Linked DNA regions of Anolis sagrei. The protein of the gene in region 4 purifies or fractionates together with the protein of the main gene of each other region. This does not show direct contact. Links are inferred from orthologs where the notes say so. Each region holds a gene or a part of one and is shown on either strand. Other genes may lie near its edges.

Region 1 (6,915 bases), on a different chromosome or scaffold from region 4:
TTTCAAACAATTGATGACTGAATCCATGGATAAGGAAGGATAACTGTGCTTTGAGCAAAGACTCGAGTTTATGAAAAACTGACTTGAATGACATCATTTTGTACTCTGGACAAGAACAACACATTGGCTCTGTCTCCCATCCTTTCCTATACTCATTAGACAATTTTACCAAAGCCTGCCTTTCATAACTCAGAAGATTATCTGGATGTGTGCTTTCCAGGTTTGTATTCATTTGTGTTCTTTGGGCTTTACTATCATAGTTGTAAGGCAAGTAGTTGGCAGTTGTTGCCTATTTGGTCCTATTTATACACATCATTTTTGCTACACATATAAAAGGAAAATACTATGTGAGGCAAGAAATCCCAGCAGAGTGGATAATTCAGTTTCCTTGATATGAAATTTACTTTCTCCATTATTGACTCATGAAATTTATGGGGAAGATTAGATTAAAATACAGGGGAATCTGAAATTGAAGAACTAACATTGACTGAACTTTGAATTGTATTGTTCATAAGCAAGCACAATGCCATAGACAAAATTCCCAGAAATAAACAATGGTTCTCTAACCTTTCTCCTCAAAAACCTTTCTTCTCCTACATTTGTTCTTCCAACTTCAGCTGACCTTTGCTCTCTTGCTAAACAAACACACATTCCTTGCCCTAACTGGTTATTTTTAATTGGACACGTCACACTGACTGGCTTGCTTTCTCCTCCCCTGACCCCAAGCTGTGATTTAGCAAGAGAACTGATCAGGCGGGCAGCAGAAAACCTGCCAGTTTATATATCCTCCTCTAACCCAAAGCAGAAAGCAAAACATCCTTACATGTTTGATGGGTGGAGAGAAGCAATCGCAGAGGGAGGGATAAAGTCGGATTGTCTCCACTTGGGTTTCCGAAACTGTTCAGAAGACCCAATGAGAGTTACTTCCTGTTGTTCTATTTTTCCACATTTCCCCCTCCCTCCGTTCCCCTATGTGAGCTTCTTCGCAAGATGCTACTAAGGAAGGAATACACAAATACACACACATTACCAAGGAGTGTGTGTATACACAAATATGCTACTAAGATATATATATATATATACACACATACACACACACACTCACAAATATATGCTACTAAGAAAGGAATACAGATATACACACACTCACAAAAATATGCTAAGAAAGGAATACAAATATACACACACTTACAAATATATGCTAAGAAAGGAATATAAATATATATACACACAAATAAGTGCTACTAGGAAAGGAATACAGATAAACACATTCACAAATATGTGCTACTAAGGATTGTATACACACACAGACAAAGAAAGGAACACTGCACACACACATATGCTACTAATAAACATGAATATATTCACACGCACACATATGATTAAGACAGGAATATCATATATACAGTATATACCAGGCATGGGCAAACTTTGGCCCTCCAGGCATTTTGGACTTCAAAACATTTATGGGAATTATGGGAGCTGAAGTCCAAATCAGCTGGAGGGCCAAAGTTTGTATATACTCATCTATCTATCATCTATATACTACTGGTATATACTCATCTATCTATCTATGATAGTAAGGAATATGTTATACAGTATACAAACATATATATGTATGTATATATATGTATGTATGTATGTATATATAAACACACATATATGCTACTAAGATATAGACATAGATACACAATACACAAACACACAGAGAATATATACTAAGATATAGATATATAAACACATACACAGGATACATATATATATTTATATATATAAACACACACACAAACTTGTATATGCTTATTAAAGGGGAGGAAATAACCGCAGAGATTAACGCCACAGATCCCACCCCATTTCTCTTTCATACCCTATTAAGACCAGAGGCAGAAGGATCTGGTTTAACGCGAAAGGGGAATAACAATAATCCCAGGCCTAGTTTCCTAGAGAACAGGCCAGATTGCTCAAAATCCCACCCGAGGCCGAGGAAGGAGGCAGGAAGGCCCAAAATGGAAGAGGGGATCCGTGTGAGAAGGGGGGGGGGGGTGACTATTGTCCTCCGAAGGAGAGAAGGAGAGGGAGGGGGAAACTGCTATGTATTGAAGAAGAAAGGGAGGGGGCAGCATTGTTGGAAATCGGGGTGCACGCGCGGGGGGGGGGAGAGGGGAGCGCGCCCTCCCTCCCTCCCTCCTTCCGGGGCCTGGTCCCGGGCCTGCTCCTGGGCCTTGGGCTGGCTGCTCACCTTTGTAGTGGACGCGCAGGTTGTTCTGCGAGAGGCCGATGTAGCTGAACTTGTCCTTGGGGCTCCAGGAGCGGGGCAGCGGCGTCTCCCCCTCGTCCACGGCCGGGTAGAGGCGCTTGAGGCGGCGCTGGAGCTCCTTCTCCTGCTCGTTCAGGGCCGGGTCCCCGACGCTAACGCCAACGCCGCCGCCGCCGCCGTGAGGGAAGGCGGACGGGGCCCCGCTCCCGGCTGCCATGGAGGCGGAAGACGAGGAGGCCGAAGAAGGAGGCGGCGGCGGGGCCGAGGTGGCGGGCGGAGGTGGCGGCGGCGGGTGAAGCAGCAGCGGGGACGGGCCTGTGTGGGCCGGCGCTTGAGGTGGCGGCGGAGGAGGCGGCGGGGGAGGAGGAGGAGGGGGAGCCGTGGCCGGTGGCGGAGGCTGCTGCTGCTGCTGCTGTTGTTGTTGCCCGGACATGCCGGCCTCGTCCGCCCTCGACGGCAAGGGGAGGAAAGGGTGTCTACACGGAGAACAGCCCGAAACCGGAGTGACAGTCTGAGGGGGGAGAAGAGGAGGAGGAGGAGTCGCGGCTGCCTCGGCTGACGGAAAGCAACTGAGCTCGCGCGAGGACGAGGAAGAAGGGGTTGGAAGTGACGAAAGGCGGGGAGGATGACGTCGGCGGTGACGACATGAGCTGGCGGCGCGAGGGAACGGGCGCGCGAGTGAGTGAGTTAGTGAGTGAGGGCGCGCGCACCCACCCTCGAGACGAACGCGGCTCCGCTCGAGCTGAGGGGAAAGAAGGCTGCTGTCTCTGCTGCTGCTGGTAGGTAGGACAGTGCTATTACGCGCGCGCACACGCAGGCGCGGTGACGTCGGCGCGGTCCTGGAAAGTGGAGAGAGGGCGGGTGCGCGCTTTAGTCAATGAGAAAAAGCAAAGAAGTGTGCAAACTTGGCCCCACTTGTAAAACTTCTGAAAACGACACAAGCCTCATCTCATTCAGAATATATATATATATGTATGTGTGTACATACATATATATGTGTGTAGGTTTGTGTGTGTGCAATATATATATTCTCATTCAGAATATATGTGTGTGTATACTGTATATTTTCATTCAGAAATGTGTATGTATACTGTATATATATTCTTTATATTCTGTATATATAAACACCTTTGCAGAAGCATACGAGAAACTCGACCTGTCATTGAACATTAAGAAAACCAAAGTGCTGTTCGAGCAGACACCAACCAATTATTATTATTATTATTAAACTTTATTTGTACCCCGCTAGCATCTCCCGAAGGACTCGATGCGGCATACAAAGGCCAAGGCCTCAACACAACAACAGCATAACAAATACAACTCAAAGCAAATCAAAAACATAAAGCAATAACAACAAAACGTTACACCATAACACAGTAAAAACTAGGGCCAGGCCAAGTAATGGGTACAGATTAAAAAGTGCTGGGTGTGACAGGTGGTATGTTGGATTTCAGGACAAGTGCAATGTGCAGAGAATCTTACAACTGTAATAAAGTGCTTCAGGGACATAATGCTGGAGTTTTCCTATTCCAGAAATAGCACTGATGGAATCGTTCCAGGAGTTGCATGTGACGTCTGTAGACAGTCCACGTCACCAGCCAACCCCTCTCCAATGCCAGAGATACAGCTTAGAAAATGTTGACCATTTCCGCTACCTTGGCAGCCACCTCTCCACCAAAGTCAACATCGACACCGAAATACAACACCGCCTGAGCTCTGCGAGTGCAGCATTTTTCCAAATGAAGCAGAGAGTGTTTGAGGACCGGGACATCCGTAGGGATACCAAGGGGCTTGTTTATAAAGCTGTTGTCCTCCCAACCCTGCTATATGCCTGCAAGACGTGGACTGTCTACAGATGTCACATGTAACTCCTGGAATGATTCCATCAGCTCTGTCTCTGAAAAATCCTGCAAATCTCTTGTGAAGACAAGCGGACAAACATCCGCGTGCTGGAAGAAGCAAAGACCACCAGCATTGAAGCGATGGTCCTCCACTGGACCGGCCACGTTGTCCGGATGCCCGACCACCGTCTCCCAAAGCAGCTGCTCTACTCCGAACTCAAGAACGGAAAACAGAATGTTTGTGGACAAGAAAAGAGATTTTAAGATGGGCTCAAAGCCAACCTTAAAAACTGTGGCATAGACACTGAGAACTGGGAAGCCCTGGCCCTTGAGCGCTCCAGCTGGAGGTCAGCTGTGACCAGCAGTGCTGCAGAATTTGAAGAGGCATGAATGGAGGGTGAAAGAGAGAAACGTACCAAGAGGAAGATGTGTCACGCCAACCCTGACCGAGACCGCCTTCCACCTGGAAACCAATGCCCTCACTGTGGGAAAAGATGCAGGTCAAGAATAGGGCTCCACAGTCACCTACGGATCCACAAGAATACTGATCCTGGAAGACTATCCTACTCGCCCAATGACAGGTCACCTAAATAAGTAAGTATATATTCTGAATGAGAAGAGACTTGTGTTGTTTGCAAAAATTTTGCAACAAGTGGGGCTGAGTTTGCATATCTCTTTGCTTTTTCTCATTTATATGTACATATATGTATGTGTGTACATGAAGATATATATATGTGTGTGTGTGTACATATATGGAGCCCCTGGTGGCACAGTGGGTTAAACTTGCTGACCAAAAGGTCAGCGGTTCAAATCTGAGTAGCAGTGTGAGCTCCTGCTATGAACCACAACTTCTGCCAACCTAGCAGTTGGAAAACATGCAAATATGAGTAGGTCAATAGGTACTGCTCCGTCGAGAAGGTAACGGTGCTCCAAGCAGTCATGCTGGCCACATGACCTTGGAGGTGTCTACGGACAACATCGGCTCTTCGACTTAGAAATGGAGATTAGCACCACCCTCTAGTGTCGGACATGACTAGACTTAATGTCAGGGAAAAACCTTTACCTTTACCTATGTATGTATGTGTATATACACACACACACATATGCATACACACAGGCAGTCCCCAAGTTACAAACATCTGGCTTATAAACAACTCACAGTTAAGAACAGGGCCAAGACAACAGGAAGTGAGAGAAATCTGTCCCCAGAAAGGGAAATTCACTCCTGGAAGAGCTATTATCATGGTAGAAATGTGTCTCTACTGAAGCTTTCTCACGCATCCTTATTTCTACAAAGCCACATTTTTCAAAATCCAACTATTCCAGGGGCAGAAAGTGAGGTGAAATTTTCTGAACAGGGACACAGGCAACAAAACAAGCACCACAGGGACGTCAACCCTTCACTATTCTATCCAAACTAAACAATATGTATATTTGGCTGGAATTACACTTTAAAATGTACCTGTTCTGATTTACATACAAATTCAGCTTAAGAACAAACCTACAGAACCTATCTTGTTCGTAATTTGGGGACTACCTGTACACAAAATATGTGTGTGTGTATATCATAGAATACATATATACATACAGAATGGGAAAATGCATGCATGCACACTGTCATTCCTCCACATTTGCAATTTTGACTTTTGCGGAGTTGGTTATTCAATTCATGCATCAGATTAAAAACTATCTCCCTGGGAATCTCTTCTTTATTCATGGGTTTTCCCTTTCACGTGAGGCCTGTGGCCTTAACCCCAGCAAATGTGGAGGCCTGGCTGTATAGACAGATCCTGAATGAAGTGAAGAAGGGTTTTTTTTCCACTTAAGCTTATAACATTCCTCCACTTGAAACCTTGAGACAATACAGTAGGCTTCAGTTACAATGTCAGTAATAGGTAGGGAAAACTTGTCCTTCTGCTGATTTACCACCAACTGGTATTTCAAATAACATATAGTACAGTATGTTGTCCTATATTGGTGCAAAATAGGACTCTGCTCACTCTTTTGCCATTAGAGGCAGCACAGGGGAGAGCATACCATTTTACATGTTTTCTCTCTCTCCCTGAACATGAAAATATCACTAGTACAAAAGTAACACAGTGTGATGAGGTCCTAAAACAAACTTAATTTAACACAGTTTTACTGTATTATAAAAACCGCTTTTTATTATTTAAAATAATATTTATTTGATTTTTTTCACCAGTTAACTGAGGCCCCCTCTACACTGCCATATAATTCAAGTTATCAAAGCAAATAATCCACATTATCTGCTTTGCGCTGGATTGTATGAGTCTACACCACCATATAATCCAGTTCAAAGCAGATAATCTGGCAGTGTAGAAGGGGTCTGAGAGTTCATTGTAGAGTTCAATCAGGGGGGAGATAGGATTGGGTTCTTACACAGTTTAACTGTTTGTTTTTAATATAATTGATTTTTTTCTATTTTAATACCATTAATATTTTATTCTATTTTAATGTTTGTATATTTTTACATTTTAAATTGTATTGCAATGGTTTTACTGTAAACCAGTTTGAATAATAAATAATAATCTATATAAATAAAAATGTGATGTTTGTTTGGGATTAACATAACTCAAAAACCACTGGACGGATTGACACAAAATTTGGACACTACACCCCTACCAAACCAACGAGTGACCATCACTCATAAACCTCTCCCAAAAAAACAGCAGAAAGGACCTAAAAACCCCAAAAAAGTAAATGACAATACAACGCATGCGTGTCAATGACAACTCCCAGCATCCCAAGTCCTTTAGGAGAGGAGGGTGCACCAAATGCACTGCTTCCAAGCTACAA
Region 2 (7,163 bases), on a different chromosome or scaffold from region 4:
TGTCAGACTACACAGAGAAGCCACTGAAATCCATAAACATGTCGATAATGTCAACAGAAACCATGAAAATGAACAAAATCTGGCTGCCAGTAGTAAAACAAATATGTCTAAAATCAGGATAGTAAACAAAGAACAACAATCAGAGTCAGCTAACACCTCTCAAAAAAGGATCCCTCCAAGAACGCTGCAATTCAATGCCATTCAATGCTCCACGAAGGCAGCAGGCAGCAATCAGCTGCAAGGCCATTCAATGCCAATTGCAACATTCACACTTGCCTCCAGCAGACAAGAGTTCTTTCTCTCACCCTGGACATTATTCCATAGATATATACACCACTCTTGGGTTTGGAGTCTAGTGTCTAGATCTAAGGAAGCCATGCTCCCCATGCTCTATTCTGCTTTGGTTAGACCACACCTGGAATATTGTGTACAATTCTGGGCACCACAATTGAAGAGAGATATTGGAATGTGTCCAGAGGAGGGCAACTCAAAGGATCAAGGGTCTGGAGAACAAGCCCTATGAGGAGCGGTTTAAAGAGCTGGGCATGTTTAGCCTGAAGAAGAGAAGGCTGAGAGGAGATATGATAGCCATGTATAAATATGTGAGAGGAAGCCACAGGGAGGAGGAGGGAGCAAGCTTGTTTTCTGCTGCCCTGGAGACTAGGACACAGTGGCTTCAAACTACGATTTGATGTTTAATTGTTGATGATGCTATTGTTTTAACTGTCCCATAATCCTTTTATGATATTTTGCATTGTATTTTTGCTGCTGTTAACCGCTTTGAGTCGCCTGAGGGCTGAGAAAAGCGGTATATAAATGAAGTAAGTAAGTAAATAAATAAATACTAGGGCTGGGCGGTTTCGTTCGTTAATTTCGTACTTTGTTAATAATTCATATTTAAATTGGTTTACGATCCGATATTGAACCATTCAGGAGCAACTAAAAATCGAAACGAATTTTTAAAATTTATTTCGTAATTGTTTCGTAATTGTTTCGTTATTATTTCCGTATGTCTGGTGCAAGTTTTATAGTTGTTGTTTGTTTTATCAGTGATAAAAAAATAAATTATTTCACCAACAGTCAACAACAGAGGGAGAGGGAAGCTTCAGAAATTCCCCCTGTCCCATTTGGAGGGTTTTTTAGCGTATTGTGCAATCGCGTCCGCCATTAACGAATCGATTCGTTATTGTTTCGAAATTGTTTCGTAATTTCCGAAATTTCGTAAATTTTGAACTTTTTTAAAGAAAAATTTCAGAATTTTTTAAAAAAACGAAATGCAACCCCCCCTAAAAACGAATCGAGTTTAGAAACAAATTTTTTCGTGGTTGCCCAGCCCTAATAAATACAAGAAAGGAGATTTCATCTGAACATGAGGAAGAACTTCCTGACTGTGAGAGCCGTTCAGCAGTGGAACTCTCTGCCCCGGAGGGAGTGTGGAGGAGGCTCCTTCTTTGGAAGCTTTGAAACGGGCTGGATGGCCATCTGTCGGGGGTGCTTTGAACGTGATTTTCCTGCTTCTTGGCAGAACGGGGTTGGACTGCATGGCCCATGAGGTCTCTTCCAATTGTATGATTCTAAGAATCTTGCCTTGCTTCCAACAAACCTCACAACCTCTGAGGATGCCTGCCATAGATGTGGACGAAGCGTCAGGAGAGAATGCTTCGGGAACATTGGACATAAAACCTGGAAAACTCACAGTAATGTTTGGATTGTTGTCGGTTTTCCGGGCTATATGGCCATGTTCCCGAAGCATTCTCTCCTGACGTTTGGCCTACATCTATGGCAGGCATCCTCAGAGGTTGTGAGGTCATGATGTTTGGTTAACTAGAAAGCAATACGCTTGATGGTCACGAGGGGGCAGACATGATCCATTTTTATATGTCTTCATTGATAATAATATCATAATATATAATCCCTATTCACAAGCCAAACTGAGAGTCTAAAGTTTCAGCCAGGTTAGATGTTTGATTTGTGAAATAGTTGACTGTGTAGTTGTTTTGAATGGGGAGGCAATCCTCAAATCTGAATTGAAAATATCTGAGCGCTTGCTAGATTATAAAACTTACAGTTTTTATATCTAGGGACGGGATTGGGTGGAGGAGGAATTCAACCTTTGGCCTTAAAACTAAAGAGAAAGGCTGAGAAAAGGAGCCTAACGCGCCCGCCCGCCCGCCTTTCCTTCCCCGGCGGAGCCTCCTGTGAACCAAAAACTTTATCAAACGTTCGAACCAGTGCGCATGCGCGCCTGTATATTGGCTTGTTGCTGAGAGTGGCGAGGAGGGAGGGAAGAGGAGGAGAGGGCGGAGCCTCACCCAGGCCCCGCCCCCTATCGGAAGAAGCCAGATTTTGGGAGGGAGGAGGAGGAGTGCAGTTAAGGCCACGCCCCCTTTCTCGTAGCGTGCACGCGCTGTCGCCCCGAGGAGAGGGAGGCGGAGGGGAGAGTTTGGAGAAAGAGGAGGAGCACAGCGCACAGGCCACGCCCTTTTCCCGTGGTGCGCACGCGCCGAGGGCTGCCCGCCGAGAGGGAGGCGGAGCATTGCCGAGGCTCCGCCCTTGCTCCGCCCTTTTATTGAGTGGGAAAGCGGCGGAACGGAGGCGGAGCGATTAACAAAGCCCCGCCCCTCAAGCCGCCAGGAGGGAAGGGGGCGGAGCACAATTCGAGACCACGCCCCCATATTTTGCTCCGCCCGCTTTTGCGTAGCGGAGGGAAAGGAGGCGGAGCGAACCTCGAAGCCCCTCCGCCATGCAAAAGGGGCGGGGCGATGGCTCAGTGACAGGGAAGGGGGAGGGAAGGGAGGCGGAGCGAACCACGAGGCCCCGCCTCCTTTTGCGAGGCCGGGTGTTTAGCGGGAAGGCGTGGCTTAACACGAGGCTCCGCCCTCCTCTCCTTTTGCTAGGCCGTGTGTTCAGAGGGAAGGCGTGGCTTAATACCAGGCCCCGCCCTCTGCCTGCCCCTTTTGCGAGGCCGGGTGTTCAGAGTGACGGAAGGCGCTCCATCTAGTAGCCCCGCCTCCTTTTGTATTAGGGAGGAGGTGGAGCGAGACAAGAGGCCACGCCCCTTACGCAAAGAGTAACAGGGAAGGCGGGGCCGAACTTGAGGCTCCGCCCCCTCCCAAAGGAGTGAGAGAGGGAAGTCTGAGGAAAGGGAGGCGGAGCGAGACAAGAGGCCACGCCCCTTACGCAAAGAGTAATAGGGAAGGCGGGGCCGAACTTGAGGCTCCGCCCCCTCCCCGAGGTGTGAGAGAGGGAAGTCGGAAGTAAGGGAGGCGGAGCGAGTCAAGAGGCCACGCCCCTTAAGTATAGAGTAACAGGGAAGGCGGGGCCGAACTTGAGGCTCCGCCCCCTCCCAGAGGAGTGAGAGAGGGAAGTCTGAGGAAAGGGAGGCGGAGCGAGACAAGAGGCCACGCCCCTTATGCAAAGAATAATAGGGAAGGCGGGGCCGAACACGAGGCTCCGCCCCCTCCCAGAGGAGTGAGAGAGGGATGTCGGAGGAAAGGGAGGCGGAGCGAGACAGGAGGCCACGCCCCTTACGCAAAGAGTAATAGGGAAGGCGGGGCCGAACTTGAGGCTCCGCCCCCTCCCCCGAGGTGTGAGAGAGGGAAGTCGGAAGTAAGGGAGGCGGAGCGAGAGAAGAGGCCTCGCCCCTTAAGTATAAGGCGGGGCCGAACACGAGGCTCCGCCCCCTCCTCGATGAGTGAGAGAAGGAAGTCGGAGGAAAGGGAGGCGGAGCGAGAGAAGAGGCCACGCCTCCTACGCACAAGGAGGCGGGGCGACGTCTCATCTTCTAAGCTGTCAAGAAGAGTAACAGGGAAGGCGGGGCCGAACACGAGGCTCCGCCCCCTCGAGCTGTGAGGGAAGGAAGTCGGAGGAAAGGGAGGCGGAGCGAGAAAAGAGGCCACGCCCCTTACGCAGGGAGTAACAGGGAAGGCGGGGCCAAGAAGAGAGAGGAGTGAGGGAGGGAAGTCGGAGGGAAGGGAGGCGGAGCGGGAGAAGAGGCCACGCCCCTTACGCAAAGAGTAACAGGGAAGGCGGGGCCAAGAAGAGAGAGAGGAGTGAGAGGGACGTTCGAGCGAAGGGAGGCGGAGCTGAGCACTAAGCCCCACCCCTTTCTTGCTCCGCGCGTGCGCAGACGCAGCGGCAGCATCTCGGCGCCGGAGCTCCCCTCAGTCTGTCCGGAGCGGGCGTCGGAGGAGGACGTGAGGCGGAGGAGAAGGAAGAGAGAGAGGGGGCGACTCTCCGTTATTTACCTCAGGATTTCCCAATTGGACCCGGCTTCTTCTTCTTCTTCTTCTTGTATTATTATTATTTTTTGAGGGGATTGTTCAATTTCGGAGTGTGCCTGGCGATGTTTTTTTCCCCGGTGAAGGCCGCGTGAGGAGAACTTGGATCATGAGAAGGAGGCGCTGAGGGTGAGGATGGTGAGGCGAGGCCGCGGCCTGTGAAGGAGTGAGTGGAGCCTCCCGCCTGGCCGGCCTTGCTCGCTGCCTCTGCCCCGAAGATGGAGGCCGTGACGCGGGGGGGCTTCCACCCTCACCCGGGCTTGCAGAAGACGCTGGAGCAGTTCCACCTCAGCTCCATGAGCTCCCTGGGCGGGCCGGCCGCCTTCTCGGCCCGCTGGGCGCAGGAGATCTACAAGGGGGGAGGCGGCGGGGGAGGCCCCGGGAAGGAGGGCGCGGAGCTGCTGGCTCCCCCTCCGCCGGCGCCGCCCTCGGGCCCCTTCTTCCTGCCCTCGGACCGCTCCACGGAGCGCTGCGAGACCGTGCTGGAGGGGGAGACCATCTCCTGCTTCGTGGTGGGCGGAGAGAAGCGCCTCTGCCTGCCCCAGATCCTCAACTCCGTCCTGAGGGACTTCTCCCTCCAGCAGATCAACGCCGTCTGCGACGAGCTCCACATCTACTGCTCCCGGTGCAACGCCGACCAGCTCGAGATCCTCAAGGTAAGGACGCGGAGAAACCTCCGCCAGGCCTGGGCCCACTTGGGCCCTCCCTCCAGGGGGTTGGGACTACAACTCCCACCATTCCTAACAGCCTACTACAACTCCCACCATTCCTAACAGCCGGGCCCTCCCTCCAGGGGGTTGGGACTACAACTCCCACCATTCCTAACAGCCTACTACAACTCCCACAATTCCTAACAGCCGGGCTCTCCCTCCAGGGGGTTGGGACTACAACTCCCACCATTCCTAACAGCCTACTACAACTCCCACCATTCCTAACAGCCGGGCCCTCCCTCCAGGGGGTTGGGACTACAACTCCCACCATTCCTAACAGCCTACTACAACTCCCACCATTCCTAACAGCCTACTACAACTCCCACCATTCCTAACAGCCGGTAGGCTGTTAGGAATGGTGGGAGTTGTAGTAGGCTGTTAGGAATGGTGGGAGTTGGAGTCCCAACCCCCTGGAGGGAGGGCCCAAGTGGGCCCAGGCCTGGCACATTGCAATATTATACATTGGATCCTTGCTACTACAATATTATCATCATTATATTGTATTATTATTACATAATAATAATTGTATTATTATATTGTATTATTAGTACTATGTTATATTATTCTTGTTATTCTTATGTTGCATTATTAGTGTTATATATCAATATTATTGTATTATTAATATGACATTATTCTTGTATTAGCATTATATTACTATAATATTTCTATTATTATATTGTAATAGTATCATGTTATTTTACTATTCATCTTAATAATACAATAATATTAATATGACATTATTCCTGTATTAACATTATAGTACTATAATATTTCTATTATTATATTGTAATAGTACCATATTATTATATTATTCATATTAATACAATAATATTAATATGACATTATTCTTATATTAGTATAATATTACTATAATATTTCTATTATTATATTGTAATAGTATCATATTATTATATTATTCATATTAATAATACAATAACATTAATATGACATTCTTGTATTAGTATAATATTACTATAATATTTCTATTATTATGTTGTAATAGTACCATATTATTATAATATGGTACTACAACATAATACAAATAATATAGTAATATAATGCTAATACAAGAATAATGTCATATTAATAATACAATAATATTAATATATAACACTAATAATACAATACAATATAATAAAATGGTACTATTACAATGTAATACTAGAAATATTATAGTAATATACAAGAATAATGTCATATTAATATTGTATTATTAATATGACATTCTTGTATTAGCATTATAGTACTATAATATTTCCATTATTATATTGTAATAGTACCATATTATTATATTATTCATTTTTTATTATATTTTGTATTGTGTTATTAGTATTATATATATTATTGTATTAGTAATATTACATTATTCTTGTATTAGCATTATATTACTATAATATTTGTATTATTCTATTGTATATTAGTACTATATTATTATATTATTCTTGCATTATTATTATATTGTATTGTTAGTATTATACGTTATTCTTCTATTAGCATTATATTATTATATTGTATTAGTATTATATATTAATATAATATATTGCTATCCTGTAATATTATTAGTAACATTGCATGTATTATACAATATATTACATTATGAGCAATGCACAATATTAGTATGCTATCTTACTATGTTTTACTATACCACTATACTGCAATTTGATTAGTAGTATTATATGTAACATAATATACAATTATTATATTGTATTATTAGGATTATATTGTATTGCATTATGATAGCATCAATATTATATGTGTGTACAATATATTATGAGCATAGCATATAATATACAGTTATTATTAATATTATATTAAATTATAGTATTATCAATATTAGATGTATATAAAATATATTATGAGCACAGCACAATATTAGTATGGTATATTACTATATTGTAATATACCACTATATGGCAATATTCTTACTAATATTGCATGTAACATATAATATACCATTATTATATTGTATTATAATTAATATTATATTATTAGCATAGCACAATATTAGTATGATATAATACTATATTGTATTTTTTCACTTTATTGCAATATAATTAGTAATATTACATGTAATGTATAATATGCAATTATTGTATTATATTATAGCACAATAAATATAAACTCTCAGTATTTTATAGTTATTATTATAAAATATATTATATCATAAGCTGTA
Region 3 (7,709 bases), on a different chromosome or scaffold from region 4:
CTACACCCCAGAGTATTGAAGGAACTAGCTGAAGTCATTTCGGAACCATTGGCAACCATCTTTGAGAGTTCTTGGAGAACGGGAGAAGTTCCAGCAGATTGGAGGAGGGCCAATGTGGTCCCAATCTTCAAGAAGGGAAAAAAGGACGACCCAAACAACTACCGTCCGGTCAGCCTCACGTCGATACCGGGCAAGATTCTGGAAAAGATTGTTAAGGAAGTGGTCTGCAAACACTTAGAAACAAATGCAGTCATCGCTAATAGTCAACATGGATTTATCAAAAACAAGTCATGCCAGACTAATCTGATCTCTTTCTTCGATAGAGCTACAAGCTGGGTAGATGCAGGGAATGCCGTGGATGTAGCGTACCTGGATTTCAGTAAGGCCTTCGACAAGGTCCCCCATGACCTTCTGGCAAGGAAACTAGTCCAATGTGGGCTAGGCAAAACTACGGTGAGGTGGATCTGTAATTGGTTAAGTGGACGAACACAGAGAGTGCTCACTAATGCTTCCTCTTCATCTTGGAAAGAAGTGACAAGTGGAGTGCCGCAGGGTTCCGTCCTGGGCCCGGTCCTGTTCAACATCTTTATTAACGACTTAGATGAAGGGCTAGAAGGCATGATCATCAAGTTTGCAGACGACACCAAATTGGGAGGGATAGCCAATAGTCCAGAGGACAGGAGCAGAATTCAAAACGATCTTGACAGATTAGAGAGATGGGCCAAAACTAACAAAATGAAGTTCAACAGTGACAAATGCAAGATACTCCACTTTGGCAGAAAAAATGAAATGCAAAGATACAGAATGGGGGACGCCTGGCTCGAGAGCAGTACGTGTGAAAAAGATCTTGGAGTCCTCGTGGACAACAAGTTAAACATGAGCCAACAATGTGATGTGGCGGCAAAAAAAGCCAATGGGATTTTGGCCTGCATCAATAGAAGCATAGTGTCTAGATCTAAGGAAGTAATGCTACCCCTCTATTCTGCTTTGGTTAGACCACATCTGGAATATTGTGTCCAATTCTGGGCACCACAATTCAAGAGAGATGTTGACAAGCTGGAAAATGTCCAGAGGAGGGCGACTAAAATGATCAAGGGTCTGGAGAACAAGCCCTATGAGGAGCGGCTTAGGGAACTGGGCATGTTTAGCCTGAAGAAGAGAAGGCTGAGAGGAGATATGATAGCCATGTATAAATATGTGAGAGGAAGCCACAGGGAGGAGGGAGCAAGCTTGTTTTCTGCTTCCTTGAAGACTAGGACGCGGAACAATGGCTTCAAACTACAAGAGAGGAGATTCCATCTGAACATTAGGAAGAACTTCCTGACTGTGAGAGCCGTTCAGCAGTGGAACTCTCTGCCCCGGAGTGTGGTGGAGGCTCCTTCTTTGGAAGCTTTTAAGCAGAGGCTGGATGGCCATTTGTCAGGGGTGATTTGAATGCAATATTCCTGCTTCTTGGCAGGGGGTTGGACTGGATGGCCCATGAGGTCTCTTCCAACTCTATGATTCTATGTTGGAGCTAGGTGTGAATATTTTAACTGACCACCTTGATTAGCATTTGAATGCCTGGCAGTCCCTGGAGCAATCTTTTGTTGAGAGGTGATTAGATGTCCTTGTTTGTTTCCTCTCTGTTGTTGTGCTGTTCTAATTTTAGAGTGTTTTAATACTTCTAGTCAGATTTTGTTCATTTTCATGGTTTCCTCCTTTCTGTTGAAATTGTCCACATGCTTGTGTATTTCAATGGCTTCTCTGTGTAGTCTGACATGGTGGTTGTGAGAGTGGTCCAGCATTTCTGTGTTCTCAAATAATATACTGTGTCCAGGTTGATTCATCAGGTGCTTTGCTATGGCTGACTTCTCTGGGTGAAGTGGTCTGCAGTGCCTTTCATGTTCCTTGATTCGTGTTTGGCCGCTGCCATACTTCTGAGGATGCTTGCCATAGATGCAGGAGAAACGTCAGGAGAAAAATTGCCTCCAGAACATGGCCATATAGCCCGGAAAAACCTACAACAACCCATGGATTCCGGCCATGAAAGCCTTCGACAATACAATACACTGAATGTTTATCGTTTGTTTGTTGAAATCTGCTCTGAGTCCCTTTGGGGAGATAGGGTGGGTTACAAATTTTATTTATTTATTTATTTATTTGTTGTGTCAGAGCAACCAGTCCATTATATTACATTTGTAACAGAACAAACAGACAAATACAAAACTTGTGAGTTTGGTAGTTGGTTAAATGTCCTTTGGTTACATATAAAGTCTTATTTGTAGAATTAATGCAGTTCAACGCCACTCTGAATTTAGGGTGCCAAGATTCCTGATACAAAAAGGCCCCACCTGTAATATTCCTTTTTGTTATGGCATCTCTTTTGGTTGGGAAAATAATGAGGTTCGAGACACACACACACACCTTTAATTGCTATGGGTGAATGCTATGGAATCTTGGGAAATGTAGTTTCCCAAGGTTGCTTCACCAAACTGTAAGTCCTAGGATAGGACAGCATTGGGGAATGGCAGTTCAAAGTGGTGTCAAAGTGCATTCAATTTAGAGCAGGACTGGGCCAACTTGGGCCCTCCAGGTGTTTTGGACTCCAACTCCCACCATTCCTAACAGCCTACTACAGTTCCCAGAAGCCCCCAGCCTGCAAATGCAGGCTGGGGGCTTCTGGCAACTGTAGTAGGCTGTTAGGAATGGTGGGAGTTGGAGTCCAAAACACCTGGAGGGCCCAAGTTGGCCCAGGCCTGCTCTAGAGGCCTAGTCCCTGGCCTCCCCTCAGGAGGGGGCGGGGCAGGCTTCCGAGGCCTTCCCCTGACTTCCTCCTCGCTCCTCGGCCCTTCCCCCTCGACTCACTCCGGCAAATAAGTGGAGGAGAAGCTGCTCCATCGGTGCAACGTGTAGGCCAAGGCGCGGCTCTCGAGGGCGCTGTTCGGGCCGAAATCGAAGCCTAAACCGGGAGGGCCCGCCGCCGACGCCGCTGCCGCCGCCATTTTGTCATCAAAAGAGGATCCGCTAGAGAAGCAACGGAGCGTCGGCATTGCGCATGCGCGAGACGACACGTCCGGTTCCCCATCGCCTTGTGTTGACCTCCTCCTATTCCAAGATTACATATAAACCCGCAAGACCTTTAAAGAGCGTCGCTTGGGAGCCGGAAGTTTTTGTAAATTTTAACTATCTCTTTCAAAGAGGGGAGGGAAACTGGATGGAGAGCAAAGGGGAGCAAATGGCTGCTCTTAAAGGGCCCGCAGCGCATTTTGGATGCTCAGGGCTATTCAACTTATTTATTTTATTTATTTCACAGTTTTCTATACCGAGCTTCTCAACCTCATTGAGGGACTCCGCCCGGTTTCCAGCCATAAAAAACATATACATTCATTAAAATATCATATATCACAAATTACAAAAACAACTTTAAAAACACTATATATAAAACTACAGTGGTCAGTCGTCCTATTAAGATGGATCTACATCAACTTCCATCCAGGGTCCTATGGTGTTGTCTCATTCATCGAAGGCCTGACTCCACAGCCACCTCTTCACCCGTTTCCTAAATGTTAGGATGGATGGGGCGGTTCTGGCCTCCAGAGGGAGAGAGTTCCAAAGTCGCGGGGCCATCACCGAGAAGGCCCTGTCCCTCGTCCCCACCAGGCGCGCTTGCGAGGCCGGTGGGACCGAGAGCAGGGCCTCTCCAGATGATCTTAATAATCTTGATGGTTCGTAGGGGAGAATACGTTCGGAGAGGTAAACAGGGCCGGAGTCGTTTAGGGCTTTATAGGTCAACACCAGCACTTTGAATTGTGCTCGGAAGCTAATTGGCAGCCAGTGGAGGTGGCGTAACAGCGGAGTGGTGTGCTCCCTGTACCCTGCTCCCGTTAGTAATCTGGCTGCCGCACGTTGGACTTGCTGCAGCTTCCGGGCAGTCTTCAAAGGCAACCCCACGTAGAGAGCGTTGCAGTAGTCTAAGCGGGATGTAACCAAAGCGTGTACTACCGTGGCCAACTGCCAAGAGTTTAGCAAGTTGGGCTGTTCACAACTATTTATTTTTGTTCGAGAGCAGTACATGTGAAAAAGATCTTGGAGTCCTCGTGGACAACAAGTTAAACATGAGCCAACAATGTGATGTGGCGGCAAAAAAAGCCAATGGGATTTTGGCCTGCATCAGTAGGAGCATAGTGTCTAGATCTAAGGAAGTAATGCTACCCCTCTATTCTGCTTTGGTTAGACCACATCTGGAATATTGTGTCCAATTCTGGGCACCACAATTCAAGAGAGATATTGACAAGCTGGAATGTGTCCAGAGGAGGGCGACTAAAATGATCAAGGGTCTGGAGAACAAGCCCTATGAGAAGCGGCTTAGGGAACTGGGCATGTTTAGCCTGAAGAAGAGAAGGCTGAGAGGAGATATGATAGCCATGTACAAATATGTGAGAGGAAGCAACAGGGAGGAGGGAGCAAGCTTGCTTTCTGCTTCCTTGGAGACTAGGATGCAATGGAACAATGGCTTCAAACTACAAGAGAGGAGATTCCATCTGAACATTGGGAAGAACTTCCTGACTCTGAGAGCCGTTCAGCAGTGGAACTCTCTGCCCCGGAGTGTGGTGGAGGCTCCTTCATTGGAAGCTTTTAAGCAGAGGCTGTATGGCCATCTGTCAGGGGTGATTTGAATGCAATATTCCTGCTTCTTGGCAGGGGGTTGGACTGGATGGCCCATGAGGTCTCTTCCAACTCTTTGATTCTATGATTCTATGATTCTATGATATCCTTCTTTATCTTGCCATACGGAGACTCACGATCAAAAACATTACAACTTCAAATATACAAATATACAATAATAGAACAGTATATCATTATATATTATTATATAGTATCAGAACTAATTATGTTTAATATATTAGTATTGCTATATTACAATATTATTATTATATATTATACTAGCCATCCCCTGCCACGCGTTGCTGTGGCCCACTCTGGTGGTCTTGGGTGTTCTGTGTGGGAGGTTTGGCCCAATTCTATCGTTGGTGGGGTTCAGAATGCTCTGTGATTGTGGGTGAACTACAAATCCCAGCAACTACAACTCCCAAATGTCAAGATTCTATTTTCCCAAAACTCCACCAGCGTCGACGTTTGGGCATATTGAGTATTCGTATAGAGTTTGGTCCAGATCCATCATTGAGTCCACAGTGCTCTCTGGATGTAGGTGAACTACAACTTCCAAAACCAAAGGACACTGCCCACCAAGCCCTTCTAGTATTTTCTGTTGGTCATGGGAGAATTGTGTGCCAAGTTTGGTTCAATTCCATCGTTGGTAGGGTTCCGAATGCTCTTTGATTGTAGGTGAACTATAAATCCCAGCTACTACAACTCCTAAATGACAAAATCAATTTTTTGAGTGAAGGACATATATTGGGTTGTTAGGTATCTTGTGTCCAAATTTGGTGTCAATTCATCCAGTAGTTTTTAAGTTCTTTTAATCCCACGAACGAACATTACATTTTTATTTACCAAATAATTGGACTTTGGGCTTATTCCATCACTTCTGCAGATAAAAGTCTGGGTTATGAACTTTTTGAGAAGTGTTAAATCAGATGCAGACTCTATTAAGTCAATCAAGCTGTTCTCACAGCGGTTAAGCAGGCCAACTGATTTTCAGGGCACTAATCAAAACTCTCTGGACGATGCAGGGACTCTGAAAAATACATAGCAGAGCCATGATGCACTAAAACAGTGACTAAAGCCAGCAGAATATGCAAGTATAAGGCATGGTGGCACATAAACCAAATTGAAACCAGGCACAGAAGAGTGGAGTGAAGCATGTGTATACCAGATGCCTGTAAGACATTTGCTAAGACCAGTTCTGGAACCAGATGCTGTTGCAGCCCGGGACTGAAAACACCTAAGACCACAGCATCACACAAGAGTCCACAACATAAGCAAACAATTTATTGTAAAAACACATAAAAATATATGAAAAGTCAGGAATAATGAAGGAAGATGTATAACCTAAAAAGGGGTTAGCAATAGGTGATAACCAAACAGTGTTCCAAATGCCTCATGCAGATCCCAAAGGAACACAGGAATAGCCCACAAGTACAGCATAAGTCCACAAGCAAAAGGTATACTTAGTAAACTTGAGCAGGAATACAAAAAGAAGAACATAGAAAACTTCCAGGATACTTAAATCCAAAACCAAGGCTTGACTTGAAACAAGAACCAGAGAACTCAGGCCTAGCTTCTCACTCGAATGCTAGGTTGCCTGAACTAACCCTTAGGTCAGTGGTTCTCAACCTGTGGCTCCCCAGATGTTTTTGGCCTTAAACTCCCAGAAATCCTAACAGCTGGTAAACTGGCTGAGATTTCTAGGAGTTGTAGGCCAAAACACCTGGGGACCCACAGACTGAGAACCACTGCCTTAGGTAAACAACTTGTTAATTAATAGAAAGCCATGAAATCTTTCCTTTCCCCATAAATATTTCCCCAACTTTCCCACATAATCGCTCTGAATGGTGCTGCCTATTTTCTGCTCTAATCTGTAAATGAAGACTTTTGTTGATCTCTGTAACCCCAGGTGTTTTTCTCTGGGAGCCTACCATATCACTTAGCTCTTCACACAACTCCTTGTCTAATGTTGTGGTTTCTGGCTCCTCTGACTGACCTTGAAGTCTTGCACTTTCTGAGTCAGATTTTTCCCAGAGAGAACCATCATTTCCCTGGCTTGAATCTTCATCACTTTGTGCCCCAGGAAATCCCACAAGAAATCCCACTATCCCCTCTAAATAATTGATGAATCTATCAGCCTCAGACTATATTGCAACAGATACAGAATAATCTATGAGCTCCATATCTGGCTTAGTTATTCCATATTACAAGTACTCTATCAGTTTTTTACTTTAGTGAAGATACTGAGAACCTTCTATAGTTTAATTTTTACTTTAGTGAAGATACTGAGAGCTATAGTTTAATTTTGTCATTCAAATATATTGAGATTGAGATACAATGGTGGTGATGTGTGTCTTCAGGCCATTTGTAGTTTATGGTGATGCTAAAGTTACCCTATAATGGGATTCATACAATTGGAAGAGACTTCAAGGGCCATCCAGTCTGACCCTCTTCTTCCAGTAGGAAGACACAATCAAAGCATTCCCAACAGATGGCTATCCAGCCTTTGCTTAAAATCCTCCAGAGAAGGCTTTTAAGCAGAGGCTGGATAGATTAGAGAGATGAGAAATAAAAGTTGAGAAATATATGCAATATCTCATCTCAACATACTAAGAACAGAGTTTCATAAATGAATAGATGCCAAACCACCTTCTAGAACAGGCGTGGGCAAACTCTGGCCCTCCAGGTGTTTTGGATTTCAAATCCCAATTGTGGGATTTGAAGTCCAAAACACTTGGAGGGCCAAAGTTTGCCCACGTCTGTTCTAGAAGGAAACTGTTTTGCTTTGGAGACGATCCTGATTGTGGCAGCTGACAGGCAACCAGGGATTTCAAGGAAGAGCTTTGTGTCTCCTTCGTGATGGAGATCTCTCTAAAGACATGACTCAGCTGATGAGCCAAGGAAGGAGCGGGCACAGAAAGCCAAAGCAGCAGCAGCAGCTCTACAAAGCTTGAACAGAGAAACCGAAAGAGACAGACAAGTGCACATTTTATCTCATGCAAGATTAGTGGGTGTGCTATCTGCACAAGCAGCTTGCTTGTTGTTTTGGAAATAAATAG
Region 4 (7,477 bases):
ACGACTTGAAAGCACACAACCACAACAACAACAACAATCCTATCTCATCAGCCAATAACAGGCCCACGCTTCCTAATGAAATACTAATAGGTTTATATTTGTTAAAATTGTTCTTCATTTTAATTATTGTATTGTTCTAAAGCAGGGGTCCCCAAACTTTTTAAACAGAGGGCCAGGTCATAGTCCCTCAAACTGTTGGAGGGCCGGATTATAATTTGAAAAAACATGAATGACTTCCTATGCATACTGCACATATCTTATTTGTAGTGCAAAAAAACAATTAGAAACCAATACAATAATTAAAATGAACAATCTTAACAAATATAAACTTATTAGTATTTCAATGGGAAGTGTGGGCCAGCTTTTGGTTGATGAAATAGGATTGTTGTTGTTGTGTGCTTTCAAGTCGTTTCAGACTTAGGTTGACCCTCAGCGAGGGCTGGGTAAATGACCTTGGAGGGCCGCATCTGGCCCCCGGGCCTTAGTTTGAGGACCCCTGTTCTAAAGTGTTTTTTGCACTACAAATAAGATACGTGCAGTGTGCATAGGAATTCATTCTTTTTTTCCAAATTATAATCCGGCCATCCACAGTCTGAGGGACTGTGACCTGGCCCTCTGTTTTAAAAGTTCGTGGATCCCTGCTCTACACGAATACTCAATATGCCCAAATGTGAACACTGGTGGAGTTTGGGGAAAATAGAATCTTGACATTTGGGAGTTCTAGCTGCTGGGATTTATAGTCCACCTTCAATCACAGAGCATTCTGAACCCCACCAACAATAGAATTGGGCCAAACTTCCCACACAGAACCCCGATGTGGGCCGCCACAGCAATGCGTGGCAGGGGATGGCTAGTAAATAGTAAAAATGATGCTGGGCTTTAAAATGTCCTCTGACCTTTCCCCCTAACCGCACAGCCACAAGTGTTGTTGGGTTGCAATTCCCATTCTCCTCAGTCTGTATGGCGGACAATGTAAAGCAGTGGTTCTCAACCTTCCTAATGGCGTGACCCCTTAATCCAGTCCCCCATGTTCTGGTGACCCTCAACCATAATATTGTTTTCATTGCTACTTCATAAGTCATTTTACTACTGTTATCAATCATAATGTAAATATCTGATATGCAGGATGCATTTTCATTCACTGGACCAAACTGGGCACAAATACCCAATACACCCAAATGTGAATGCTAGTGGGGTTGGGCGAGGATTGATTTTGTAATTTGGTAGTTGTAGTTGCTAGGATTTATAGTTCACTTATAATCAAAGAACATTCCGAACTCCACCAGCGATGGATTTGAACCAAACTTGACTCCCATGACCAATGAATAACATTGGAAGGGTTTGATAGAGATACAGAATGGGGGATGCCTGGCTCGAGAGCAGTACGTGTGAAAAAGATCTTGGAGTCCTTGTGGACAACAAGTTAAACATGAGCCAACAATGTGATGTGGCGGCAAAAAAAGCCAATGGGATTTTGGCCTGCATCAATAGGAGCATAGTGTCTAGATCTAAGGAAGTAATGCTACCCCTCTATTCCGCTTTGGTTAGACCACACCTGGAATATTGTGTCCAATTCTGGGCCCCACAATTGAAGAGAGATATTGACAAGCTGGAATGTATCCAGAGGAGAGCGACTAAAATGATAAAAGGTCTGGAGAACAAGCCCTAGGAGGAACGGCTTAAGGAGCTGGGCATGTTTAGCCTGAAGAAGAGAAGGCTGAGAGGGGATATGATAGCCATGTATAAATATGTGAGAGGAAGCCACAGGGAGGAGGGAGCAAGCTTGTTTTCTACTTCCCTGGAGACTGGGACGCGGAACAATGGCTTCAAACTACAAGAGAGGAGATTCCATCTGAAGATGAGGAAGAACTTCCTGACTGTGAGAGCCGTTCAGCAGTGGAACTCTCTGCCCCAGAGTGTGGTGGAGGCTCCTTCTTTGGAAGCTTTTAAACAGAGGCTGGATGGCCATCTGTCGGGGGTTATTTGAATGCGATGTTCCTGCTTCTTGGCAGGGGGTTGGACTGGATGGCCAATGAGGTCTCTTCCAACTCTTAGATTCTATGATTCTATGATGGGCATTGACCTTGAATTTGGGAGTTGTAGTTCACCTATATCCAGAGAGCACTGTGGACTCATGCAATGGTGGATCTGGACCAAACTTGGCATGAATACTCAATATGCCCAAATGTGAACACTGGTGGAGTCCGGGGAAAATAGATCTTGACATTTGGGAGTTGTAGTTGCTGGGATTTATAGTTCATTTCAATCAAAGAACATTCTGAACTCCATCAACCATAGAATTGGCTCAAACTTCCCACATGGAATCCCCATGACCATCAGAAAATACTGTGTTTTCTTATGGTCTTTGGCGACCCCTCTGACACCCCCTCGCGACCCCCTCAGGGGTCCCGACCCCCAGGTTGAGAAACACTGATGTAAAGGGATGGGAATTAGCCTTCAAAAACACCTGGGGACGCAAACTGGGTCAAAACTAAAGAGAACTGACCACTATGGACAAAAAGTATAGTCTAGTTGAGGGCCCTTTGAAGGCTGATGCAAACGAGCCATAAGTGAAGTTTCCTTCCCGCCAACCTCTCTTCAAAGACACGTTGACCAAGTGAAGCGCAAACGCCGGGCTCCCAGGAGAGACTGACCACAGGTAGGCCTCGTTGCCAAGGGCAACCGGAGGGGGGGAGGAGGGGAGGGGGCACCTACTCTCGCTTTGGAGGATCTCGCGGCGCAGTCCGGCCACGTACTGGATCAGCTCCTCCAGGCTCCGCTCGCAGAGCTGCCCGTAGCCCGAGAACTTCTGCAGCACCTTCTCCAGCTCGCGCTCCACCGTCACGCACTGGTCCATGGCCACTTTTTCCCGCCGCTCCGGCCCACGGAGCTCCCGCAAACAGACCCCGAGGCCAACCCGGGCTGGTGGTGGGGGTTGTTTTTGCAGGCAGCGCAATAGACGAGCGGGGTCCTTTCCCGAGCAGGGCTGGCGCTGCGTCACAGGCGGCGCCGAAAAACAACCCCGAGTTCCTCAGCCGTGCTGTTTGATTGGACGCTGACTCATAGATCTAGGAAGTTGTAGAGAAACGCATTGCTTAGCTCACAGAGAATGCTTCCGGGTGTATTTGGAGTATTTTTCCCACTGCTTATGGGCACTGTTTATGGAACGAGAGACCAAATTGCCAATATTCACTGAATAATGGAGAAAGGAAGGGAGTTTCAGAAAAACATCTATTTCTGTTTTATTGGCTATTCTAAAGCCTTTGACTATGTGGATCATAATACATTTGTGACAAGTTCTTGGTGGTATGGGCATACCGAATCACCTTGTCTCTCTCCTGAGGAATCTGTATAATTTATTATTATCAATTTAAAACATTTATATTCTGCCCTTCTCACCCCAAAGGGGACTCAGAGTGGAGCACAGCATATACATGGCAAACATTCAATGCCTGGATACAATACATAAACATTAAAAAACATTTATCTAAATATCATTTATCTAAATATTAAAATCTCCAGCAAAGGATCACCGCCTTGCCGGGGCGCTGGAGCTTGAGTGCCTTGGACTGCGAGAAGATCCAACCAGTCCATCCTCCAGGAAATAAAGCCCGACTGCTCACTGGAGGGAAAGATACTAGAGACAAAGTTGAAGTACTTTGGCCACATCATGAGGAGACAGGAAAGCCTAGAGAAGACAATTATGTTGGGGAAAGTGGAAGGCAAAAGGAAGAGGGGCCGACCAAGGGCAAGATGGATGGATGGCATCCTTGAAGTGACTGGACTGACCTTGAGGGGGTGGTAACGGCCGACAGGGAGCTCTGGCGTGGGCTGGTCCATGAGGTCACGAAGAGTCGGAGACGACTGAACGAATGAACATCAACAAATATTAAAATACACCATTTAAAATAACACATTTTAAAACCGTCCTAGCCATCCGCATCAAATCCAACTGGCCCTGTCATCTTTCCCATTGTTGCTTCATTGCCCTGTCCCGAAAGCTTGGTCCCACAGCCAAGTTTTTACCATCCTTCTAAAGGACAGGAGGGAGGGGGCTGACCTGATCTCACAAGGAAGGGAGTTCCATTGGCGGGGGAGCTATCACCGAGAAGGCCCTGTCTCTCGTCCCCACCAATCACGCCTGTGACAATGGCGGGATGGAAAGCAGGGCCTCCCCGAAGGATCTTATTCTCCGCGATGGTACATAGAGGGAGATTCGTTTGGACAGGTAATTTGGGCCGGGGACGTTTATAAGGACCAAGTAGCAACAATACGAACTGACCATGGTACGGCAGGGTTGTATACTCTCACCCAACCTATTCAACTTATAGCAAGAACATATCATGCAATGTGCGGGGCTTGAGGAATGCAAGGCTGGGGTTAAAATTGCTGGAAGAAACATTAACCTTACTTTCGAAGGCTTTCATGGCCGGAATCACGAGGTTGTTGTAGGTCTTTTCGGGATGTATGGCCATGTTCTAGAGCAGGGGTCCTCAAACTAAGGCCCGGGTGTCGAATACGGCCCTCCAAGGTCATTTACCCGGCCCTCGCTCAGGGTCAACCTAAGTCTGAAATGACCTGAAAGCACACAACAACAATCCTATCTCATCAGCCAAAAGCTGGCCCACACTTCCCATTGAAATACTAATAAGTTTATATTTGTTAAAATTGTTCTTCATTTTAATTATTGTATTGTTTGGTGTGGCTTGTTGGTGCCTGGGGGCAATCTTTTGTTGAGAGGTGATATTGTTTTCCCTCTGTTGTTTTGCAGTGGTAATTTTAGAGTTTTTTTAATACTGGTAGCCAGATTTAGTTCAAGGAGGAAACCATGAAAATGAACAAAATCTGGCTACCAGTATTAAAAAACACTAAAATTACAACAGCAAAACAATAAAGGGAAGCAATCAGGGACATCTAATCACCTCTCAACAAAAGATTGCCCCGGGCACCAACAAGCCACACCAAACAACTGCCAGGCCATCAAATGCTAATCAAGGTGGTCAGTTGAAACATTCACACCTAGCTCCAACAGACAAGAGTTCTTTGTCCCACCCTGCTCATTCCACATATATATAAACACATTTTCCTAGTTACAAAAGACCTCACTATCTCTGAGGATGCTTGCCATAGATGCAGGCAAAACGTCAGGAGAGAATGCCTCTAGAACATGGCCATATAGCCCGAAAAACCTACAACAACCCATTAACAACCTTAGATATGCAGATGATAACACTTTGATAGCCAGAAGAGAAGAGGAGCTGAGGAGCCTTCTAATCAAGGTGAAAAAAGAAAGCGCAAAAGCTGGGTTGCAGCTAAACATTAAAAAAACGATTATGGCAACAAGCATGATTGACAACTGGGAAATAGAGGGAGAAAACGTGGGGGCAGTGGCAGACTTTGTATTTCTAAGTGCAAATATTACTGCAGATGCAGACTGTAGCCAGGAAATCAGAAGACATTTACTTCTTGGGAGGAGAGCAATGTCCAATCTCAATAAAATAGTAAAGAGTAGAGACATCACACTGGCAACGAAGATCCGCATAGTTAAAGCAATGGTATTCCCTGTAGTAACCTACGGATGTGAGAGCTGGACCTTAGGGAAGGCTGAGCGAAGGAAGATCGATGCTTTTGAGCTGTGGTGTTGGAGGAAAGTTCTGAGAGTGCCTTGGACTGCGAGAAGATCCAACCAGTCCATCCTCCAGGAAATAAAGCCCGACTGCTCATTGGAGGGAAGGATACTAGAGACAAAGTTGATGTACTCTGGCCACATCATGAGGAGACAGCAAAGCTTAGAGAAGACAATTATGCCTGGGAAAGTGGAAGGCAAAAGGAAGAGGGGCCGACCAAGAGCAAGATGGATGCATGGCATCTTTGAAGTGATTGGGCTGACCTTGAAGGAGCTGGGGGTGGTGACGGCCGACAGGGAGCTCTAGCGTGGGCTGGTCCATGAGGTCACAAAGAGTCGGAGATGACTGAACGAATGAACAACAACAACAATTTTTGCAGTTTTGTATTCATTTTATTGTAATTGTATTATTGGCATGTGGACAATTTCAACAGAAAGGAGGAAACCATGAAAATGAACACAATCTGGCTACTAGTATTAAAAAACTCTAAAATTGAAACAGCACAACAACAGAGAGGAAGCAGGCAGGGACATCTAATTACCTCTCAACAAAAGTTTGCTCGAGGCACAGTCAGCCCATTGTATGCTAATCAAGGTGGTTAGTTGAAACATTCACACCTAGCTCCAGCAGACAAGTGTCCTTCGTCTCACCCTGGTCATTCCACACAGATATAAACCCCTTTTCCTAGTTCCAACAGACCTCACTACCTCTGATTTATTATTATTTATTTCGAGGTTTTATATACCAACCCTCTCACCTTCAAAGAGGGATTCGGACCGGTTCACAACATGTGTTAACATACAAAAAATATACAATAACAACACAATGCCACTTCATTACACGATTAAAATATCAGCACCATACACATTAAAACATTATCTGAGGATGCTTGCCATAGATGCAGGCGAAACGTCAGGAGAGAATGCCTCTAGACCATGGCCATGCAGCCCGAAAAAACCTACAACCCATTTTATTGTAATTGTATTATTGGGCTTGGCCTCATGTAAGCCGTCCCTTTGGGGAGATGGTGGCGGGGTATAAATAAATATTATTATTATTATTATTATACTGACACAAAAGCACAGTATGTCACAGCAAACGAGATCTATATGCTGGATTTCGTATCTCAAAATCACAAGTCGAACACTTTCCAAGCATCTAGGACTGTGTGATGTATTGCCGAATGATGCACGCAGATCCAAGTAAGGTGGCCTTTTGCAGTTGAAAGATCGTGATTTTGTCGATGTTAATTGTTTCCAAATGCCGTCTGAGATCTTTTGGCATGGCACCCAGTGCGCCAGTGACCACTGGGACCACCCGTACTGGTTTATGCCAGAGCCTTTGCAGTTCAATATTGAGGTCCTGATAACGGATGAGGTTTTCCTCAATGCAACTGTCACCTGGTATGGCCACATCAATAATCTAGAAGTCCAAAACACCCGGAGGGCAGAAGTTTGCCCATATCAGGGAAATCCCAAAGTGTAGGATAATTTCAGTTGGAAAGTCCTTTCAATGAACCCAAAAGTGGAGAACTGTGTGTGAATCTACACTTCAGTCTATTGTTCTACACTAGATAAACACATCTCTGCGTATTCAAGTCAGGCATTAACTCAGGCACCTAAGACTGGCCTCCAATTGGAGTCCCTCATTGCCTGCCCATTTCGGACTTTTTGCGTCAAGAGCTTTGACAGACAGTGTGGGAAAAAGGGGGGGGGGGGTGTTGTTTGTTTATATGTGAGGTCTAATGAGTAAACACAGGCTGGAAAGCGGAAGTGACTCCTCGGGGTCTTCCCGCCATTGGTTTAACTTCCGTCGCTTGCTGGCTAGCGATAGAAAAACAGCTTGTGGGC

The links.
Region 1: the proteins of RMND5A (region 4) and RANBP9 purify together in Homo sapiens (affinity purification with mass spectrometry; 9 studies listed by BioGRID and IntAct, counting the BioPlex papers as one, with this or other methods). This does not show direct contact. The link is inferred for Anolis sagrei from reciprocal best matches to the Homo sapiens genes RMND5A and RANBP9.
Region 2: the proteins of RMND5A (region 4) and SKI purify together in Homo sapiens (affinity purification with mass spectrometry; 3 studies listed by BioGRID and IntAct, counting the BioPlex papers as one, with this or other methods). This does not show direct contact. The link is inferred for Anolis sagrei from reciprocal best matches to the Homo sapiens genes RMND5A and SKI.
Region 3: the proteins of RMND5A (region 4) and MKLN1 purify together in Homo sapiens (affinity purification with mass spectrometry; 4 studies listed by BioGRID and IntAct, counting the BioPlex papers as one, with this or other methods). This does not show direct contact. The link is inferred for Anolis sagrei from reciprocal best matches to the Homo sapiens genes RMND5A and MKLN1.

The regions. Positions count from the first base shown.
Region 1 is NC_090024.1:80,067,040-80,073,954, forward strand, and holds the start of RANBP9 (ran-binding protein 9), read right to left. Parts: upstream 3,019-6,915; 5' UTR 2,691-3,018; coding exon 2,240-2,690; intron 1-2,239. UniProt on the Homo sapiens protein: May act as scaffolding protein, and as adapter protein to couple membrane receptors to intracellular signaling pathways. Acts as a mediator of cell spreading and actin cytoskeleton rearrangement.
Region 2 is NC_090033.1:1,176,617-1,183,779, reverse strand, and holds the start of SKI (ski oncogene), read left to right. Parts: upstream 1-4,142; 5' UTR 4,143-4,498; coding exon 4,499-4,936; intron 4,937-7,163. UniProt on the Homo sapiens protein: May play a role in terminal differentiation of skeletal muscle cells but not in the determination of cells to the myogenic lineage. Functions as a repressor of TGF-beta signaling.
Region 3 is NC_090025.1:190,751,790-190,759,498, reverse strand, and holds the start of MKLN1 (muskelin), read right to left. Parts: upstream 3,002-7,709; 5' UTR 2,985-3,001; coding exon 2,848-2,984; intron 1-2,847. UniProt on the Homo sapiens protein: Component of the CTLH E3 ubiquitin-protein ligase complex that selectively accepts ubiquitin from UBE2H and mediates ubiquitination and subsequent proteasomal degradation of the transcription factor HBP1.
Region 4 is NC_090026.1:52,496,218-52,503,694, reverse strand, and holds the start of RMND5A (E3 ubiquitin-protein transferase RMND5A), read right to left. Parts: upstream 3,016-7,477; 5' UTR 2,858-3,015; coding exon 2,716-2,857; intron 1-2,715.